4 linked regions of the Rattus norvegicus genome follow. The protein of the gene in region 2 interacts with the protein of the main gene of each other region in a pairwise test. Links are inferred from orthologs where the notes say so. Each region holds a gene or a part of one and is shown on either strand. Other genes may lie near its edges.

Evidence for each region. The genes of interacting proteins can lie anywhere in the genome.
Region 1: the proteins of Ywhaz (region 2) and Ube3a interact in a two-hybrid assay, tested with the Homo sapiens proteins (2 studies listed by BioGRID and IntAct, with this or other methods). The link is inferred for Rattus norvegicus from reciprocal best matches to the Homo sapiens genes YWHAZ and UBE3A.
Region 3: the proteins of Ywhaz (region 2) and Itprid2 interact in a two-hybrid assay, tested with the Homo sapiens proteins (2 studies listed by BioGRID and IntAct). The link is inferred for Rattus norvegicus from reciprocal best matches to the Homo sapiens genes YWHAZ and ITPRID2.
Region 4: the proteins of Ywhaz (region 2) and Yap1 interact in binary tests that used the Homo sapiens proteins (3 or more experiments, as listed by UniProt). The link is inferred for Rattus norvegicus from reciprocal best matches to the Homo sapiens genes YWHAZ and YAP1.

Annotation. Positions count from the first base shown.
Region 1 is NC_086019.1:119,260,906-119,266,227, forward strand, and holds part of Ube3a (ubiquitin-protein ligase E3A), read left to right. Parts: intron 1-1,081; exon of another isoform or gene 1,082-1,273; intron 1,274-1,802; coding exon 1,803-3,049; intron 3,050-5,322. UniProt on the Homo sapiens protein: E3 ubiquitin-protein ligase which accepts ubiquitin from an E2 ubiquitin-conjugating enzyme in the form of a thioester and transfers it to its substrates.
Region 2 is NC_086025.1:69,828,096-69,832,816, forward strand, and holds part of Ywhaz (14-3-3 protein zeta/delta), read right to left. Parts: intron 2,827-4,721; coding exon 2,703-2,826; intron 2,091-2,702; coding exon 1,927-2,090; intron 1,846-1,926; coding exon 1,750-1,845; intron 1-1,749.
Region 3 is NC_086021.1:84,949,390-84,954,711, reverse strand, and holds part of Itprid2 (protein ITPRID2), read right to left. Parts: intron 4,596-5,322; coding exon 4,556-4,595; intron 4,469-4,555; coding exon 4,370-4,468; intron 3,468-4,369; coding exon 3,259-3,467; intron 2,431-3,258; coding exon 1,727-2,430; intron 1-1,726.
Region 4 is NC_086026.1:13,381,665-13,386,179, forward strand, and holds part of Yap1 (transcriptional coactivator YAP1 2), read right to left. Parts: intron 3,014-4,515; coding exon 2,901-3,013; intron 1,651-2,900; coding exon 1,415-1,650; 3' UTR 1-1,414. UniProt on the Homo sapiens protein: Transcriptional regulator with dual roles as a coactivator and corepressor. Critical downstream regulatory target in the Hippo signaling pathway, crucial for organ size control and tumor suppression by restricting proliferation and promoting apoptosis.

The sequences.
Region 1 (5,322 bases), on a different chromosome or scaffold from region 2:
AGAGATAAACATTTTAAACATTTTAAGTCGAGTACTACCTGGAAAAAGTATTGATTAATAGTAGTTTGTATTCCTAGATGTCAGTGTCATTTGATGAATGTGCTCTGAAAGAAGACATTGCAAGTCAATGGTGTGTGGATCCAGAGTGTTATTCTCCTTCAGGCAGGATGTATATTTATTGTTCTATATGTAGAACATGCACTTTCCAACCAATTTTATAATTTAGTGATAGGGAGATAAAACATTATCTTCTAACAGGCTGTTTATTCATTATAGATAGATTCTGTGTTTTGGTTATAGTTAAGAGAAATGGTCAAAGAAGATACCATAATTTTTTTCCATTAGAATAATGAGAAATCAGCTCCATGTTAGTGTTTTCTTACATTTCTTAGTAGACTAAAGAATTGAACTTGGATTGCCATGCTGCCTCAGCTAGGTACATGTAACTGAGTTTCATGCCTGGGACTCACAGTATAGAAGGAGAAAATGAACTCATTCAGTTATCCATTCAACTCCATAGCTTCATCACCCCTAATAAGTAAATAGAGCATTTTTTGAAACAAAGAATTGAAGATCATAAAATAAGTAAGTGTCAATACTCTAGAACAGTCCATAGATCAGTTTTGTAGTATATACAGTTCAGTGCTTTGTGGTTTATGTTTTGGAAGCCATTCTATTAATGAGGACTTGAATTTTATATTGTCTCTTACTGTTGAATAGGTACCTTTAATAAATGTACCAATCATAGTAAAGATATTTATGTGTTAGACATATTATCAATGTATGGGATATATTGTCAATGTAAATAAAAAAATTAAACTACCTTCAATGTTTAATTTAATAATTCTAGTGTGCTACTCTTTGATGAAAGAGATTAAGTTTGGCTTCAGCATTATTATTTGATAAATATATTAATTTGTAAGACTTTAGTATATAAAATGTCATCTTTTCCCAATTAGATAAAATATCTTTTGTTTTGTTAACGAAATGGTAAAGCCTTTGTTGAAAGTAATTTCCCTAAGCTAGGAGATTTATGGTCCAAATCTGTTCCTGGGAGAAAAATAGATATGAATTTTGGTGCTTGTGGTCTTTACTCTCTTAGCTTCTTCCTTTTATTTGTTTTTGAATGACTGTAATAATTTCTAGTTGCTCTGTTAAGAGTTATTAGAACCCAAATAATGGTCATAGGTAGTAGTAGCTGTAGTAGCAGTTTTAACTTCAGTAGAGTTTACTTGAGTAGTAATATCTTTTTCTCAGCTTCAGAATGAAAACTCTGGAAGAAATGAAGAATACATAACATGAGTCAGTTTGATTTTACGATATACAAAAGTATAGAAAGAGTTGATTGCAAATGAAGGGGTTGAGGAAACCTTGTAAAACCTTGCCTCCTTAGTTTTTTGAGAACAATGTAAAGGAAAATGATTTTAGGTTATTAGCATAGTAGCTTTTCGGTAAGGTTGTAATAAAGTACAGTGATGAAATGATAAATATATATATTTGTTCATATCTACAATAAATGTTACATACCAGTACATGTCTCGGTTACAAGGCAAGTCTTAAATTACCAATGCATAATTAATAATTATATGTTGAATGAGTGCCAAAGAAAGGGTGAGGTTGTTGGGATTACTTAAATAAAAAAGGAGCTGGTGATTTTAGGGTGTTAATAAGTAAATTACATTTTTTTAAAAATTCTAAATCAAATTCAGAATGTTTAGATATTTTATTTGTTCAGTAAAAATTATAACAAAATAAACATGTATATTATAATAATAAATGTTCTTTTTCTTTCCATTTTCTAGAGGTGGACTACCTAACTGAAGAGAAAGTATATGAAATTTATGAATTTTGTAGGGAGAGAGAGGATTACTCCCCTTTAATTCGTGTAATTGGAAGAATATTTTCTAGTGCTGAGGCACTGGTTCAGAGCTTTCGGAAAGTCAAACAGCACACTAAGGAGGAATTGAAATCTCTTCAAGAGAAGGATGAAGACAAGGATGAAGATGAAAAGGAAAAAGCTGCGTGTTCTGCTGCTGCTATGGAAGAAGACTCAGAAGCATCTTCTTCAAGGATGGGTGATAGCTCACAGGGAGACAACAATGTACAAAAATTAGGTCCTGATGATGTGACTGTGGATATTGATGCTATAAGAAGGGTCTACAGCAGTTTGCTCTCTGATGAAAAAATAGAAACTGCCTTCCTGAATGCACTTGTATATCTGTCACCTAACGTGGAATGTGATTTGACATATCATAATGTGTACACTCGAGACCCTAATTATCTCAATTTGTTCATTATTGTAATGGAAAATAGGAATCTCCACAGTCCTGAATATCTGGAAATGGCATTGCCGTTATTTTGCAAAGCTATGAGTAAGCTACCCCTTGCAGCTCAAGGAAAACTGATTAGGCTGTGGTCTAAATACAGTGCTGACCAGATTCGGAGAATGATGGAAACATTTCAGCAACTTATTACCTACAAAGTCATAAGCAATGAATTTAATAGCCGAAATCTAGTGAATGATGATGATGCCATTGTTGCTGCTTCAAAGTGTTTGAAAATGGTTTACTATGCAAATGTAGTGGGAGGGGACGTGGACACAAATCATAATGAGGAAGATGATGAAGAGCCTATACCTGAGTCCAGTGAATTGACACTTCAGGAGCTTCTGGGAGAGGAAAGAAGAAATAAGAAAGGTCCTCGAGTGGATCCACTAGAAACCGAAATTGGCGTTAAAACTCTAGATTGTCGAAAACCACTTATCTCCTTTGAAGAATTCATTAATGAACCACTGAATGATGTTCTAGAAATGGACAAAGATTATACTTTTTTCAAAGTTGAAACAGAGAACAAATTCTCTTTTATGACATGTCCCTTTATATTGAATGCTGTCACAAAGAATCTGGGATTGTATTATGACAATAGAATTCGCATGTACAGTGAAAGAAGAATCACTGTTCTTTACAGCCTAGTTCAAGGACAGCAGTTGAATCCATATTTGAGACTTAAAGTCAGACGTGACCATATTATAGATGATGCACTTGTCCGGGTAAGTTTGACTATTATTTAAAATTGGACTTAAACTAAAAGCTGCAGAGTGTTATATTTCAGTGAATTCTTTAACTTTGAATAAAAAAGATAGAATCATGTTAACATTTCTGATTTATATTACTCCAACTTTGTTGCTACTTACCAAAAATATTGGTATCTTGGTTGTCTAATGATAATTTTCTTTTGAACAAGAATAAATTTTCTAGGGTTGGGGAGATGACTCACTGGATAAACATTTTGTTGTGCAAACATGAGGGCTTACGCTTGGATTTCTTGAACACATGTAAAACAGGATATGATAGTTCCATTTGTAATACTACTTTCTAAAGCAAGATAGAAAGTAGAGACAGAAGAATCCTCAGAAGCTAACCTCATATGTAAACTGAAAAATAACCAGACCCTGTCTCGGTAGAAAGCAAACACTAATACTTGACGTTCTCTGACCTCCACACAAATATTTCCCCCTTTTGGCCTTTACACACACACATATGCATACACATGCATACACATGTGCATACTGACAGGCACAAAACAAACAAAAGGAATGGATTTTCTAAATCTTGAAAGCCAGCCTTACACGTTTCCATTAAGAAGAAAAGATTTGTTTTCAAAGATTGGAACACATGACAAATGGTATTGTTATACCCAATGTTAAGAATGGAAGTAGGTGTAATTGGAAGAAATAATACAATAAATCTGTATTGTAAAAGAATTAAAAACTGCTCATCAAATTCCTTTATGTAGAATACAACTCAGAGTTGTATTGTGAACTTGATGATATGACCAGGAAAGGTTAGTCTATGTTAACTAGTAAGTCTTTGGAGTTCTAAGCCACCCAGTATCTTGTTTGACACTGTAGGATTTTTTTTTAAATAATAATAATAATTATGTGAATTTTAAAACTAATGTAAAATAGCTATTTTTGTGACTTGGAATTAATATTAATAGTGTTAGTTAAATCTATATGATTTAACTGGGAAGTCAGGAACTTCTAACTGCCTGTTTCCCCCCTCCCTCCCCCACCAAATGATATTGCCTCTTGTCTGTTCCTTCTTTCCACAGATGACAAGAATTGCAGAGTCCGTATCAGTTAAACCAGAAAATTGGTTTGGAAATTGCCAGTCATATGTTAACAAAATTATATTTAAGGAATTCAGGGTATTCCTTGGTATTAATTATTCTTGTTAGTGCTAGTTCTTTTTGTTTAACTTGATGTAAGATTTAGTACCAGTTACAAATGAAGCATCATCCTTATATTCTAACAAATTATAACCCATTAATGAATAACTAACATACTAGTTATTTGAACATTTATCTTTGGGGTGGATTTGTCTAAATATGAAAAGCCATAAGATTGGACTAAATCCACATTTAATAGAAAAATTATGCACCTGTCCTTCCTGATTTTTTTTCATTATTTTCTTCTTATATTCTTATATTCTTTTTTTTTTCTGTAATAAAGGTATTGGATTAAGAGCCAGTAAAAGCTTAGATAGTATTAATAAATTTTTTAAATTATCATAATTAGCCCCTTATTTTCCTAATGAATTGTTGGAGTAAAATTAACAGTTAAGCCTTGTAATTATGCTAACAAACTGTTGCTAGTAAATACCATTTAATTATGTCAACTGGTCATATGGTTTGACACATTATAAATTGTGATTCCTTTGATAATATCCATACTTGACTAGTACCAGTTTAAACAAGCCCTGGCTGGCCTTCAGCAATTCTGTGTGTCTGTCTCATTGATAAGCAGTAGAGTTACAAGGAGATGGAATTTATCACAAAAATTCTTAAGAGTTTTCACCGAGCTCTTCTCCTTTCCCCTATCTTGCTTTCTTCTCCCTTTCTCTTTCTCTTTTTTCTCTTTCTGAATCATTTTAAACTGACCCCTCTCAAATGTTTTCCTTTTGTAGTATTCTAGTATGAAAGGGTTAGAAATATAAGCATAGACTCAGGCCTTAGAGATCAAATTGATGACCCCCAGCAAAGGGTAATTATTTTAGTCATACTAGATTAATACAGAAAGTTGGAGGTTTACAGCAAGCTATATTTGAGAAAATGCCCACAGGTGAACTGATGGAATTCTACTGTCTCCATGTCTTATTCTACATAAACCCCTGTTGTTTTTAAGCCTTGTTCTTTCTTTCATAAAATAGCTTGACAGAATATTTCTGTTCATCACTGTCTCTTTTACCGGATCATTTTGAACTGTATAGGAAGCTGTGTAGAGAAAAAGGAATGAGAAGTTTTGCAGTGAATTTAACATTA
Region 2 (4,721 bases):
TTAAGCCAAACTTAAAAAGGAGAAAAAAGGAATCTACCCTCTAACCTAATATATTCTCCCCAAATCACCTTCCACACTTGGCCTAGAACAGACTCAAAGTCACACATAGCTGGCCAGGTATCTTCTTCCAGACTGTGTGCTTACGAATAGGACAACAGTCTCCTGTCTGTTCCCTCCTTGTCCTTTAATGGTTTTACATTTTGTGTATAAACCTTACACACTACAATCAGGATAGTCTCTTGTGAGGCACTGGCTGTGTCAGCTGGGTGTCACGCTGTCAACAGCAGTCTAACAAGGCTCAGGGCAGAGCTGCTCCTTGACCTTCTCACTCTGCTTAGGACACTCTTTCCTGCACTCACCCCATAATTCCAATGGATGAGAGGAGCATTCAATCAGGAGCCCCTAAAAGTAGTGACACACCTAGGCCTAAGGTCTACTTTAAATACCACCTCATCACTTCAACGCAAGCCTAGACAACATGTAAGACTTAGTGCTAGTTTTCTTCTTGCTTTGCCTAGAATTTGTATTTCTCCTGCCTAAGCTTCCCACCAACTAAAATAACAGCTGTGTGTCACCATGCTCAGCAAGTAAAATAAATTTTTAGCTTACTGAGGACCATAATCAAGGTCTTACACACCGCAGGTAAGCACTTTTCCAACAGCTACACTCACCCCCCCCCATATATTCTTACAATTAGAAATTAGCTAACGAATCAAGTGCTTCATATTTGACGTCTTTTCTTTCCTTTGGGCAGGATGCAGCTCAGTGGTATTCACCTAGTGTATAGAAGGCCCAAATCCCACCTCCAGCATGCACAGCAAGTCAATTCCATATTAACCCTTGCTTATTTTTAAGTCTCTTAAGTTTGTAGACAACCCCAGTTAGAGTTAGTAAAATAATTTTAGCTACAGACTTTAACAGGAAGTAAAACACATAAAGAATGGACAAGTCTCTTAGACAAATTGAACACACACAGAAAAGTAGCCCATAGACCAGAGACACTCATTTCTACCTTTTCCCCGAAACACAGCAAATGCTGGGTAACTTTTTCACCCAAGCCTCAAAACTTCAAATTACTACTCATCTGAAGAAGGAAAAACCCAAGAAGCCAACCATAAGCATGGCTTTATTGGGATCCTATTTAAATAATAAATAACCATTTAAATGAATTTTCAAGAACTGTTGTTTTAGTTTGGTTAAGACAATGGTATATATGGGGTTCATGTTCAAACCTTCAGCACAGCAGAGCATCAACCCCACCTTTCCCTGGGCTAGAGACCAGGCAAGCAAGGGGTGCACTTGTTCCCACCAAACATGCACAACACTAAAGGACAAGAAAACCAACTTCAAAGACAAGTTAGACACCAATAGTAGCAAGTTTACTTTTTTTGTTGTTGGGTTTTTGTTTTTTGGAGATAGAATCTTGTCATGTAGCCTAGGCAAGCTTGTCACTAAGTAGTCCAGGCTAGCCTGTAACTAACTCATGATTCTTCCTCCACCACAAGAAACCTGGATACTTCTGCTGAGTAAGCACATGACTGACTCTGGGGTGAAAAAAATGAAACTACTCAAGACTTGAAACAGAAAGGAGTAACTTAGGATAAGTTAAGCCCAAAAGGTATCTATCTCTCATAAGTACTGGCAATGTTCTCAATAAGGTAGTTTTCTTCTTGGTAAGCTTGTAAACAGTAGATAGGACGCTATATTCAGTTATCTGGCCACACCCTTCAGACTGTCTTAGGTACTCACTGTCAAGTTGTCTCTCAGTAACTGCATTATTAGCGTGCTGTCTTTGTACGACTCTTCACTTAATGTATCAAGTTCAGCAATGGCTTCATCAAAAGCCTACAAATGCAAAACAAAGTACACCTTAGAATTCAAATAATGAACACTGCCCAATTCCCAAGTAACAGGTAAAATACATACTGTTTTTGCAAGAGAGCAGGCTTTCTCTGGGGAGTTCAGGATCTCATAGTAGAACACAGAGAAGTTGAGGGCCAGACCCAGTCTGATGGGGTGTGTCGGCTGCATCTCCTTTTTGCTGATTTCAAATGCTTCTTGGTATGCTTGCTGTGACTGGTCCACAATTCCTAGATAATGCAACACAGTGAAATGGACTTTCAAATTCTATGCTGCAGCTTAAGCCAAACTTTTCATTTAAGATTGCATGTGTCCTCTGAAATATACGCTCTGACAGTCTTATCCAAATTATACTCTTTAAAACAAACAATGCTGTCCTGGATCACACTAGTCACTCGCTGTTGTCAAGAGAAAAGCAACTCAGAGTGGAGCTGAGTTGAAATGATAACTCTGAGGCAAAGAACACTGGCTACTTTTCCCAGTCTGGTTTGATTCCCAGCACCCTAGGGACAGCTTACAACAGTCTGTAACTGCAATTCCGGGGGATCCAATCGCGCTGCTCTGACCTACAACAGTATCGGACACATGTGCCCAAACACATGCAGGCAAACACTCATACACACATCCATCTGATCACCATCTTGTGATTTCCTCATTCTACTCTGAGGTTAACCTCTGTTAACATCGAGGAGACATTCTTATACAAACAGCTTTTCAGAAAGCTTCAAGTTCAAAATACTAACAGGCAAAAACACAAGACAAAAAGAAAGAGTGCTCAGTTCTCTAAGTAACATAACAGAAAAGAAGATGTATATAAGCTCAACCAAGCAAAACCAGCTCACCTTTCTTGTCATCACCAGCAGCAACCTCAGCCAAGTAGCGGTAGTAGTCACCCTTCATTTTCAAATAGAAGACTTTGCTTTCTGGCTGCGAAGCATTGGGGATCAAGAACTTTTCCAAAAGAGACTTCAGAAGAAAAGAAACAGAAATATTAAGACAATACTTACAAATCAAAGTAAAGTATTTTTCTTAAGCAAACACTATAGACTCAGTTGTAAAAGATTTCAAAACAAAACCTTAGTTTTTCTAACAGCACAGCATTCTAGAGTGCTGGTGCAGGAGGACTGTGGTGGATGAGGACCAAGCTCGACTGCAAACCAATGCTGTCTCAAAAGTGTAGTAAATCAATAAGCAACTCAAGGCAGGGAAAGGCCAGATGAAAAAAAAACACTTGTTAATTTCAGCATAGCAATTGGTCTTATCTACAGATCATCACAAATGGTAAAATTTCATCCTGTAGCTTTGCTTAAAACTATTAACAACTTAAAGCTTACTGGAATTGTCACACACCAAATAAAACCAACCTTTTATAGCTAATTTCAAGTAGATGATGTAACTGCATTGGAGAGAAAAAGGTAGAACTGAGTGAATTTAAAAACAAACCAGTCTCTTACCATACCCACTCCCTTGGATACCTCTGCTTTGAAATCAAGGTGATGTTCCTGCTCATCTGGGCTGAACCCCAGATGAGCCAATTCTTCCAAGAGTACTTAGATTCTGGTTTTTATTCTCTGAAAAGATTTGAGTATCTATTATCTAATGATGGGGGACATAAGTGAATACACTTGAATCCTGCTGCCTACTCTATGAATGTAGACAGGTCATAAAGATACAGTTAACTGAGTGACCACCCCTCATAAAGTACATGATTGGCAGCTGGCGTGGGCACCTTTGTAATCTCATCACTTAAAGGCAACACAGAAGCATTCTGAGTTCAAGCATAGATTGTACTACTCATGGAGAGACCCTGCCTCTAAAAACAACCCCCCCCCAACAATAACACACTACCCAAAGGGCTAGAAACGTGTCTCAGTGACCTTGCACTGGCCCAGCAAAGCCACAGAATCAACTTGAGTGTGTGGAGGGTGCAATGTAAAAACCTAAAGTTATGACAGAAACTCCTTTAGGCAGTATTGATAAATGTTAGTGGGAATTAGCAACCTACTTTTTATCAGTAATTTCTGTATTCCTAGAAACCACGCTGAGCAGGGCTGTGGCCACACATCTTTAATCTAGCACTGGAGAAGCAGAGGAGCCAGTTCGTGAGCTCCAGGTGAGTGTAGCTAGAGCCAAGTGTCAGGACAATCAGAGCTACAGAGACCTCTGAAAAACCAAACCAAACCAACCCCCCCACCTTACTGAAGATTGCAGGAACAGACCCAACAGCAATCCCTCAGCCTCAACACTGAAGTGACTCACTTCATTAATTTTCAGAGTGCCAACCAAGTAACCACAATGTCTAAACCTCTCTTAAAAGGACCCCATGAACAAAACCATCTAGTTGGATGCACACCCACATTTTCTGGGGATAATCACAGGCTTCCAGAACCATGAGTTTTTCATTTAAACCAACAGCAGCCAAAAACATCTGAAAAAGTCACTTTCAACTTATAACAGGTCCACCACATGTATGGGGCCTGGGAATCTACTCATGTCAGTGACAGCAGCATCTCCCCATCTTCCTTACAGAAAAAGCCGTCAACACAGGGGTTACAGTAACTTCCTAGTTCCAAGGACTATACAATCTTTTTTATTTAAAAACTGTGAGCACATAGCAGTAAAGGATTCAATGAATCCTGCCTTGTCTTGCTTCCTGATAAGGAAGTTTAGCTGTTATTTTTGGACAGTAAGTGCTGATGTTCAAAACAGCAGTGAGGATAGCAAGAGCTCAGCTTGGCAGTCAGGAAGCTCTTCCAGAGGACCCAAGCTCAATTCCCAGAACCCACATGGCAGCTCCTTAACTTTTGCAACTTGTGTTTTAGGGGAATCTGGCCACCCTTGTCACCCTTGTCCACCAGGCA
Region 3 (5,322 bases), on a different chromosome or scaffold from region 2:
TGCTGTTTAGCTTGTCTCAAACTCATGGTCATTGTGCTTCAGTCCTCTGGATGCTAGTTACTACAAACATACAACACCATTCCTAGTGACAACACACGCGCGTGCCTGTCTGTGTGCACACACAGTACCTAACATTCCTTAACTATTCCTGTAATCTTCACTTCACAAAAGGGTTCACGTTATTTTGTCATTAACGTTTTTTCCAGCAGAGGGCGCAAGTGAAAAGGTCTATGAAGAAAGGTAAGTACCACCAAACTGCGCCCACCATTTGACAAGCCTTAAGGCCCTTCCAGGTATGTTATCTGAACCCTTTCAGAGACCTGACACTTACACTTCTCCTTAGACTTTTTGAGCTCTTTTAAAATCCTACAAATTACAGAGAGGACGCTGTCAACCTACTGCTGTCCAAACTGAGTCACCAGCATGAAACTTCCAGCTACTGTATAGATTTGTATACCATGGTGCAGGGCTAAAGTATGGACGCTACTCCATCTACTGAGCACAGAGGAGGGGCCCAGGAAAGGTCTGAACTTACATGCAGTCCTTAAGACTAGCTGGGCCAAAACAACACTCAACAGAAATCAATAGGACAGAGCCAGGGTTTTCAAGCACACATCATAATCCTCTCTCACACTCGCTGTACTAAGGCAGAAATCACTTTAGTAATTCAAAGACTGGAAATATAAACCACAGGAAAAAGATTTAGGGAAAAGCAGCCTACAAGAAAATATACAGTATTCTAGAGAGCTTCTTCTATTCCCCCATACTTTTCTCTGTAGCCATAATTAACATATAAAAAATCCAGAAGCCACCAAAAGCATAAATAACGTATCAGCAAACTGAAATAAGTTAAAAAGTCATCACTAGCATGACTGACCCAAACTCAGTGAAGAGAACATTGAGGAACCATGATTTACTCTTCAACCCGAGAAAACGGGATTCTAGAGCTAACACAAACTGTTACCAAAGCAACTTCCATATTTTCAATAGGAAAAATTACACATTACATTATGCATAGCCACAATCCAGATACCTCAGTTCTTCCTGTGTAACACTGGACAGCATTTTTGCGCATTGCTCCTAAGGCCTCCCACAGTGCAGTGTCCTGGTGCACACAGCTGAATCTTGTCTATCAACGTGCTCCTATGCTCGCCTAGGAGTTCTGAAGGAACCTCCCAGGTAGTTTTACATTCTTGAATTTAGATTTTATGGAAATTAGCAGGAGTATCAATGGGTAAAATAAAGTCACCAAATGCCTATCTGGACTTATAAAACCCCACTCAGCAGCCTTCCAGAAGCCCCGCTTCCCCTCGGGTGCACACATCACTAGTATCTATCTATTATAAGTTGCCTTCACCCTCGCCCAGGTCACTGGGGCTCCTGAAGACTGGACTGCAAACCTGCTTGATCTTAGCACTTCCACTGCTGGGCAATCATGATTTGAATTTGCATACACTCTCAAGGCTCTCTGCTATCAAAGCCTTAAGCTTGGGGGAAAAAATGGTTGCAGATACAATGTCATTGGATAGATGGCAGCTGAGCCTGAGGGGTTCCACAGCACAGTTCTGCGACCAACTCTAGCTGGAAGCAGAGGCAGGAGTGTCAACAGGAGGATGTTTCCACAGTTATGAACGTTAGTCACCTCCCTTTCTATAAACACTTCTGGAGCCATTCCTCCTTCCTGGCTCTCGACTTACAAAATAAGCTCAGGAAATCTTTTGCCTACCTCTTCCATCTCAAAGGAGTCTTTCTGCTGCACCATTATGTTTCTTATGGATGGGATTGTCAGGGTTGCACATGGCTCTTTCTCACTCGAGGACGCCTGGGCACTCTTCAGCTCACTGCTGCTCTCCAGCTCACAGAGGCTGGACATGCTGCCCCCGTCATGGCCAAAGTCAGGATCTGTAACAGCAGACTGCCGGAGCGCGTCATTCTGACTGTGAGCTTCTCCATTTTCTTCACTTTCCACCTTGTGGCTAATGTTACTCTCTGCTTCATCAGAAAGCCTGTCAGCATCAATGCTGTCTGTGATGGTCGAGGAACTGCCTGAGACTTCTTCTGTAACCGTAGCCAGCATTGAAGAGGACTCCTTCTTCTTTATAACCTTCTGAGGCTTTGGGTCACTCTTGCCGCCTCCACCATCTTCAGACAGTGAAACACTTAGACTCCTTCCTTTCTCAGCAGCGGGGGTAGAGCTCCCTTCTGCTTTCTCTGTTTTATCAACACACAAGTTTAGTTTTGAGAGTGTTTTCATCAGACGGTTTGCAGTGTTGCTTCGAGTCAGGGGAGGAGGGCAGTCTGCCGCCTCCTTGGTGGAGGTCACTGAGGACATACTTCCAATCCTCTGCAATGGGGTTCCAGAGACTTGGGAATACAGAGAAGAAAATGCATTGGCCACAGTAGTGAGGACTTCAATTTGACGAAAACGGCCTATGAAAAGAAAAAAGAAATGAGATGAATATGTTATACATACATGTTGTATGTTACATATACATAGAGTAAGCAAACCCTGTGCTTAAGTTATAGGTACATACAGTAAACACGTGCTGTTTAGAACTCTAGTAATTGAATTTAGATCCCGAATATTATAAAATCATATTTTTTTTCCTAAGCAAACATGTAAACCACAACAATCAGAGGGTAGGGAGGAAGAGGATTTTTACTGTAAAGATTAGAATACCTTAGAAAATTAGAAAAAAACTGATGATGGTACTGAACATAGCAGAACCAGCTATTGATCACTAGTTATGAATTATTTACTGTTTGGTCATGGACTCCATTAAGACTCTTGGAAATGCCTTCCTAGGAAAACACACATCGGGGTATAGCTGGATAGTAGACTTAAAGCACACATAAGGTTGATCCATAGACAACCTGGGAGGAGTCTCGCTTTGAGGCACTATTTAACAGAAAAACAAGCAGAGACAGGAGTAAAAAGATCCAATTGGCCAAGTTATTTTAGATTTACAGAAAGCACTTGAAATGAACTGATTTCATTTAAAATTAGCAAAGCCCCTCCCCTACTTCTTTCTTTCTTGAACAAATGCAATTTGGAGATAAACAACAGGTTTTGCACATAAATTACGAAGAGTTGGTGATGAGGAGGAAAGAATAGTGTCTATAGCTAGAATAATTAATTCAGAATGAGTAAAAGACCTAGCCTATTATTGACCTTGTTGTTAAAATGTCAGATACAAAAACAAGGATCATCTGGCCAGTTGTAAACTCTCAAACAATGCATGAGCGTCAGACCCTTACTTGTCAGAGCGTAATTTGGGTTCTCCACTTCCATCCGCTGCATTTGCGCACTCAAAAACACTTTAATGTCTATGCCTCTGGCAAAGGATGACGAATTAAAAAATCTGGAAGGAATTTTAGAAGCAATATCTGGTTCATCTCGTCCAAATCCAAGATTATATAGAATTTCTTCAGGATCTTCCTCGTAAAGCTCCAGCAGTTCTGAAACACTACAACAAATGAAGAAGATATAGAGACGCTCAGTGTGCATGTCAATCAGTCCACAGCCCCACTTCCACTCCCTTGGCTCCTGGGCTTTACAGTACAATGTCTTTCCGTATCTCCTGATACTATGCACTCATGGGATACACAATCCTTACAAAGGATACGTAGGCACATTTTCTCAGGAAACCAGTGTTGGAAAATCAGAAACAGAAGCCCGAGGGCCTAACCCCTAAGAACGAAGCAGACCCTCTAAGGGACTGCTCACCTTATCTTTTTAAGGATTCTCCAGAAAAGCCATCCAGACCAGGCATGATAAAGAAAGAACGGATTAAGAAAAACATCTCAGGAAGCTGGTACAGCTCAGGTACTGAGGGGCCAGCCGAGAAACCTAAGCTTTGCAGACACTATTTTTTTTCCTATACGAGGCAACTATCTTAGCAGGAGCAATGAAGGAGACAAGCTGGGGTCAGAAAGCCAGTGGGGAGCTTCCCTCCAGCTCTTCTCTCCCCACATCCACGAAGGAAGGAGGAGGAGTAAGGTGAGGAGGACTGGTTTAACACATGGAAAACAAATCTAGCCTTAAGTATTAAACTACTAATTGTGGAAGTTTTTGCCGCTTTCTACATCAGAGTTCCTTAAGCCACTCTCCAGTGAGTTCTGGTTCCTTATGAGTAGCAGTTACTCCACTATGGAGTTTACTCCAAGACTCTAGTCCTGTTATGAACACAGTTACTGCCTTCTACTTGGTGAGTTACAGGTGCGGTTGGTTTTGACATAAGAAGCTCCTGTCAGTTTTGATGATCTAGGAAACACTTGGGGACTTTTGATTCACACTCTGCATCAAATAAAAAACAAGAAGGTGAAAGGATCATCAATACCATATGGTCACAGTTTCACCAGTACTAACCTTGACACAGTACCACTGCTTTTCCCAGACCCAGTGGAATTCATACTTCTCCCTTTCTGATGAAACTGAAGTCTTCTCTCTTTGGCCAAGATATTGTTGCTATAAATATAATTCGATACTTTAAAACTTGGTTTTCTATGATCCTTTTTCACTTTTAGAAAGGAGTAGACTCAAACAGATACATACCAGTTTTCAACTTGAGCATCAGGTTCATGTAGGTGATTGGCTACAAGTAATAAACAGACAGACAGACAAACAGAGAGCACAGCCGTTAGAGGGAAAGGACACAGTTATGGAGCAGACAGGTTATCTACATTGTCATGGTTGGCTTGTTAAATAGCCACTACTGATCCCACTGGACAGCCAGGCAATAACTAGGCCAGCAACTTTTGGAGGATGCTTGTATTTTCTGGCAATGCAAAACTACTTCTATCTGCATGCTTAAAAATTAAAAAAAAATCTATAAAGAATCAATTAAATTTCTGGAACCAGGTAGACTTGTAATGAGGGAGTCTGTATATAGTGTATATAGTGCTATTAAATTTCAAAGCTGTCAATCAGGAACATCTTAAAAGTAAATGTGACTGGGTGCCATTAAGGAGAACCAGAATATTCACATATTTCTTATGTGCTTTTAAAGTTAGTGTCAGCCTTTAGTGCGTAATGTGAAATGCTCTACACCTTTCAATGTAATGTTTCCTTTAAAACTTCCTCTCAGCTTTAACAAGGTCAAAGCAAACAGTAGCCAATATTTAGTTAATTTCATCATGACTGTAGAAAAATAAAATGAATAGGATTAATAACCAAAATGTCTACGACAGCAGTTGACTTTTTAGTTTCTGATGTGCAAAACTGTGAGAAGTTTTTGCTTCTTTGTACTTCCTACCAATGATATCGCTTGTTACCATGAAAGGCCCCAGGCAGATATGAAGGCATCCAATGCATTACTTACA
Region 4 (4,515 bases), on a different chromosome or scaffold from region 2:
CTTTCTTCTTGTAAAAATAAAGCCATAATCATGCTTCGCTCTAGCCCTTTGCTAAGTTCAGCCACCCCCGCACACTTACTGTCTGTTCACTTTACTGGCCAGCCAAGGCCTCACAGCATTCTTCGCCCTACCCCAGGGTCCACTGAACACAGGCACGTGAGGTTTCCTAAGACTGATCTTGTAGGTGACAGTCAATACTCAAAAGTATCTGAGTGGACAGCCGAGGCCGAGGCGGAAGGAAGGCCTGCCTCTCCAAAGCTCAAAGCTCTGAGACTGCACAACGGAATCAGTCCAAGGGAGTGAGGCCACTGGTGGCTTCTATCCTCACTGCCGCAGTGCAGAGGGCTGGAGAGCTCTTCCTGGCTTTACCCACAACCAGAGCCCTTTCTATAACACTGCCCTCCTTCCCTCCCTCCCTCCCACCCTCCTCAAACACCTGCAGATTGCCCCAACCAGAATTTCAACTATCCGTGAAACATAACTAAGATGTCTAAATGCATATGCTCAAGGCTACCATTTCAACAGTAAACTAGGAGCGAAGGAAACACTTATCAAGACACACTCTGCTACACACTACCACAGACATCAGAAGAGTGTGTACATACGTAGAGAGGAGACAGCCAAGATTTAAATAGGATGTTAAAAAGTCGAGAAATATAGATTTCCCCCAAAAGAATGGTACTGCCCACCCCAAGCTACAGCTATGAATGACTTCATTAAGTTGCCTACGTTCCACCAAAACCAACCACAGAAAAGAAAACAGAAAAACCAACCAAAACACCCACAGAAAATATCCATTCAAACCTAACCTAGAGTATGTGGCATAATTAATGTATTTCTATGGAAACTGTCCCATGCCTCATGAGCTTCTAAGATAAAATCCAGGTCACTATGTGCCTAATGGTATGACTAAAAAAAGAAACAGGAAGTCCATCAGTCTTCGGCATGGGTCTTTGCCATCTTCCGGTCTTCCGTGAGATCAGATGCCACGCGTCTGGCTTGTTGGACCCAAGGGCCAAAGGCAGCTGAAGAAACCGTGTCTTGAACAGACGCATAAAGCATTTCAGACCCAGCCTGGGGTTCAGTTGAGGATGGGTGAAGACCAGTGGAGGAGGCCGGGCATCTGTTATCGACAGGCTCCCCACAACCCAGAGAGCACAGCTGCCAGAGCAAAGGAAACAAAGGGCTCTGGCTATTTGTGGTTCTGGTTCTTTAGGGGTGGCCGTGAAGAGGTCAGCAACCTAAGAGCAGCAATGGCAGAGAAGAGCAGAGCAACAGTGGATGATCCCCGCTGGACACTGGTCACCTGTTCTGTGTTAGCCAGAGAATCACCCACTGGCTTATCTGAATGCAGGAGTGCACACCTTAGGCTCTGTGGATCCTTCACAGACCCGGAGAGTGGCTCCGGACAGCTCTATAACCACGTGAGAAAGCTTTCTTTATCTAACTTGGTGGCAGCCAACACAGACTCCACATCCAGGATTTCGGAACTCAGCGCTTCCTGAAGGCTGGGCATCAGCTCCTCCCCTTCTATGTTCATTGCATCTCCTTCCAGTGTGCCAAGGTCCACATTTGTCCCAGGGAGGGCCTCCAGGTAATCAGGGAAGCGGCTCTGCTGGGACGGCAGGGTGCTCTGGCTGATGGTGTCTCCTAGTTTTGGGGAGGGAACAAAATGTTTTGTAAGAAGCTTCAGAGCTGCCCCTGTGAGCACAGCCATGGGAAACAGAAACACCCAGCGTCTGTCTACCTTAGAAAACCACACACAGAGACCACTTGGTAACAGTGCCAAGTTTCACGTGCCTCAGCCCTTCAGTCATGCAGTACAGATCATGGCCTGGCTGCGCACTACGAAGGGCTACCTGATGGGTTGTGAAGAACTGACACTCACTCCCTTGGAATTCTATATGCAGCAGTGAGAAATGACAACCATGCCTTCTCTCTTTCTCCTAGGAATGCACCACCATTTCTAGGTCATTTACATATTAAGATGGAGCGTCTTCTGTCTCTCGTTGTACTCTGGGACACTAACATTCAGCACTGTAGACAGTACTCTGAGTCACACACGCCATAGAGGAAGAACATTCCCAGGAGTCCTTGAAGGCAAGTGGCCCTCTCGCCCCCCAGACTTCTTTCTAAATCACTTACCTGCCTAGAGAACTTTTATCTATGTTAGCACTCCTCCTTGGAGCTTTGCCAGAACTTACATTCAGAAAAACAATCGGCCTTTCTGGTACAAGGGGGCCAGAGAGGTGAGCCATGAGAGTGGGTGGGAGGGGCCAGGATGGGGCTAGACATGAAGTAGGCCCAAGAGGCTCCTAAAGAAGATTTCTGACCTAGGTGAACTCAGAGAAAGCAGGGCACAAGTTCTCACCTTCATGTGTCAGATAAAGTCAAGCTCCGAAGACTTCCACACTTTGGAGAAAATGTATCACTGTCCTGTGCTCTCTCCAGCCCCAAGGCAGAGGTCTTAGCTCCTCAATACTCGTGCAACTATTTCAACTATAAAGTCAGTAAGTCTTACTCTAGGCCCCCTCCCCGCAAATATGGCTTCCCAGCCCCGTAACACTGTTAACAACGCAGCTGAACCCAAAGTATTCAGAGGAAAGAGAAAAACAGTGGGTCACAAAAAAATTACTCAAAATTAACAACACAGATCTAAAACAAGAAACTTCTAATAGGCCCAACTAACACGTTAAAACAGAACAGGCTCAAAAGCTGGCCGGCCACTGAGGAAGCTGGGCAGGAGGGCCATGAGTCATCTCAAAAAGAAAAGAAAAACCAGTGTGTCAGCCTGTGCCTGAATCCAGGCTAGCCTGTGCTAGCTCCAGTGGAATCGGAACTAAGAAGGAAGGAGGAACACAGCTAATGACCACCCACGCTGAAAGTGAATCAGTACTTGCCTGTGTCCATTTCATCCACGCTGTTCAGGAAGTCGTCTGGGGTCCGAGGGATGCTGTAGCTGCTCATGCTGAGGCCACTGTCTGTGCTCTCATCTCTAGAGTGATAGGTGCCACTGTGAAAATAGTGAAGACACACAGGAAGATTCCATCAACTTGGCAAAGGTGAACACATGTTAAGCGAGACCATGATTCTTAGAAGAACAGTGAGTAGTCCTGGCCTTGCAGTGCTCTTCAGAGCCCAACAGCCTCTGACTTAGAATGGGATAGACACACTGCTCCTAACTAAAGTGACAACTGCTAAAGACAGAGGTATCTGAAGGTTGAGCTTGGTGGCAACTGAGAGAAAAAAAGTGACAAGCCCCATTACCTATTTTGAAGCTTGGGGTCTTCAAGGTCTCAAGTCCCAAACCCAGGGGTCAAAACCACATTAGGCTCATGTCCAATTCCCACCTCCCAAGGCACCAGAGTTTAGCGAGGGATAGCCACGCACAGCAAGTCAGGGAAGTGACTGAAGAGTCCCAAGTCACTGAAGGCAGAATCCCCACAACTCGACTTTCTTGTCACACTGGGGGAGGGGACACCCAAATACAGCGCAGACAAGAGGCCCAAGGTTCTGAAGAGAAGGGACAAAGCAGAGCCCTTAGGAGAAAGGAGCCAACGTGCAATTTTACTGTAAGGTGGAATGGAAAGCCTCAAGGTTGATTCAAGAGCAACAGAAAACAACCTTGAAGCGTCCTAAAGAGAATGGCTGATAATAGGGGCTCTAACCTGAATTCTACTAACACTGAAAGAAACCAACAAACCAATAACCCCCAATCCTGAGGGCGACGGCTACGCTTATGGCTTCTGATCACAAATGTAGACTGACTTTCTTACATGATGGACATTTAAAGTGTTTGTTTAAAAAACCAAAACACCTCCACCAGATCCCAGGTCAGCAGTACAAGTATGTTTGAGCCCAACCTTCTAATGAATTGTTTGATGCATTCGGCCCATTCTCTCCCTCATCACTCTACACGACAACTGTTGCTTTATGCCAACAAGTCTGAAACATTCAGAAGCCTCACACAAATGCAAGACACAAACTTGCCCGAGACTGTTGGTATATAACATAGCCATACTTCATGGAACCTCAGCCCTGAGCTGCTGTAGCCACAGCAGCAGCTGAGGGAGGGAAGAAGGGCTTTGAAGGCGAAGAGGAAGAAGCCTGAAAAGTCAGCAGCAACGCTTCTTCGAGGGGAGGTCAGAGACAGGTGGGACTCGGACCTTGAGGCAGTGCTGAGACTCACTATTGAGCAGAGCAGACATCAAGAGACTTTTTCAAGAAAAAAAAAGTGGGGCTGGAGAGATGGCTCAGCGGTTAAGAGCACCGACTGCTCTTCCAGAGGTCCTGAGTTCAATTCCCAGCAACCACATGGTGGCTCACAACCATCTGTAATGGGGTCTGATGGCTTCTTCTGATGTGTCTGAAGTATACTCACATGCACAGAGATGGACAGCACAGGGGGCAGAGGGCTCTGGAGAAGGGCCATCTCCATTCTGCAATTTCAGAGACCCTTAGGCTTTAGCACAAAGCTGGTCAGAGGTCTGAAGGGCTGTCACATATCTCTGCCTA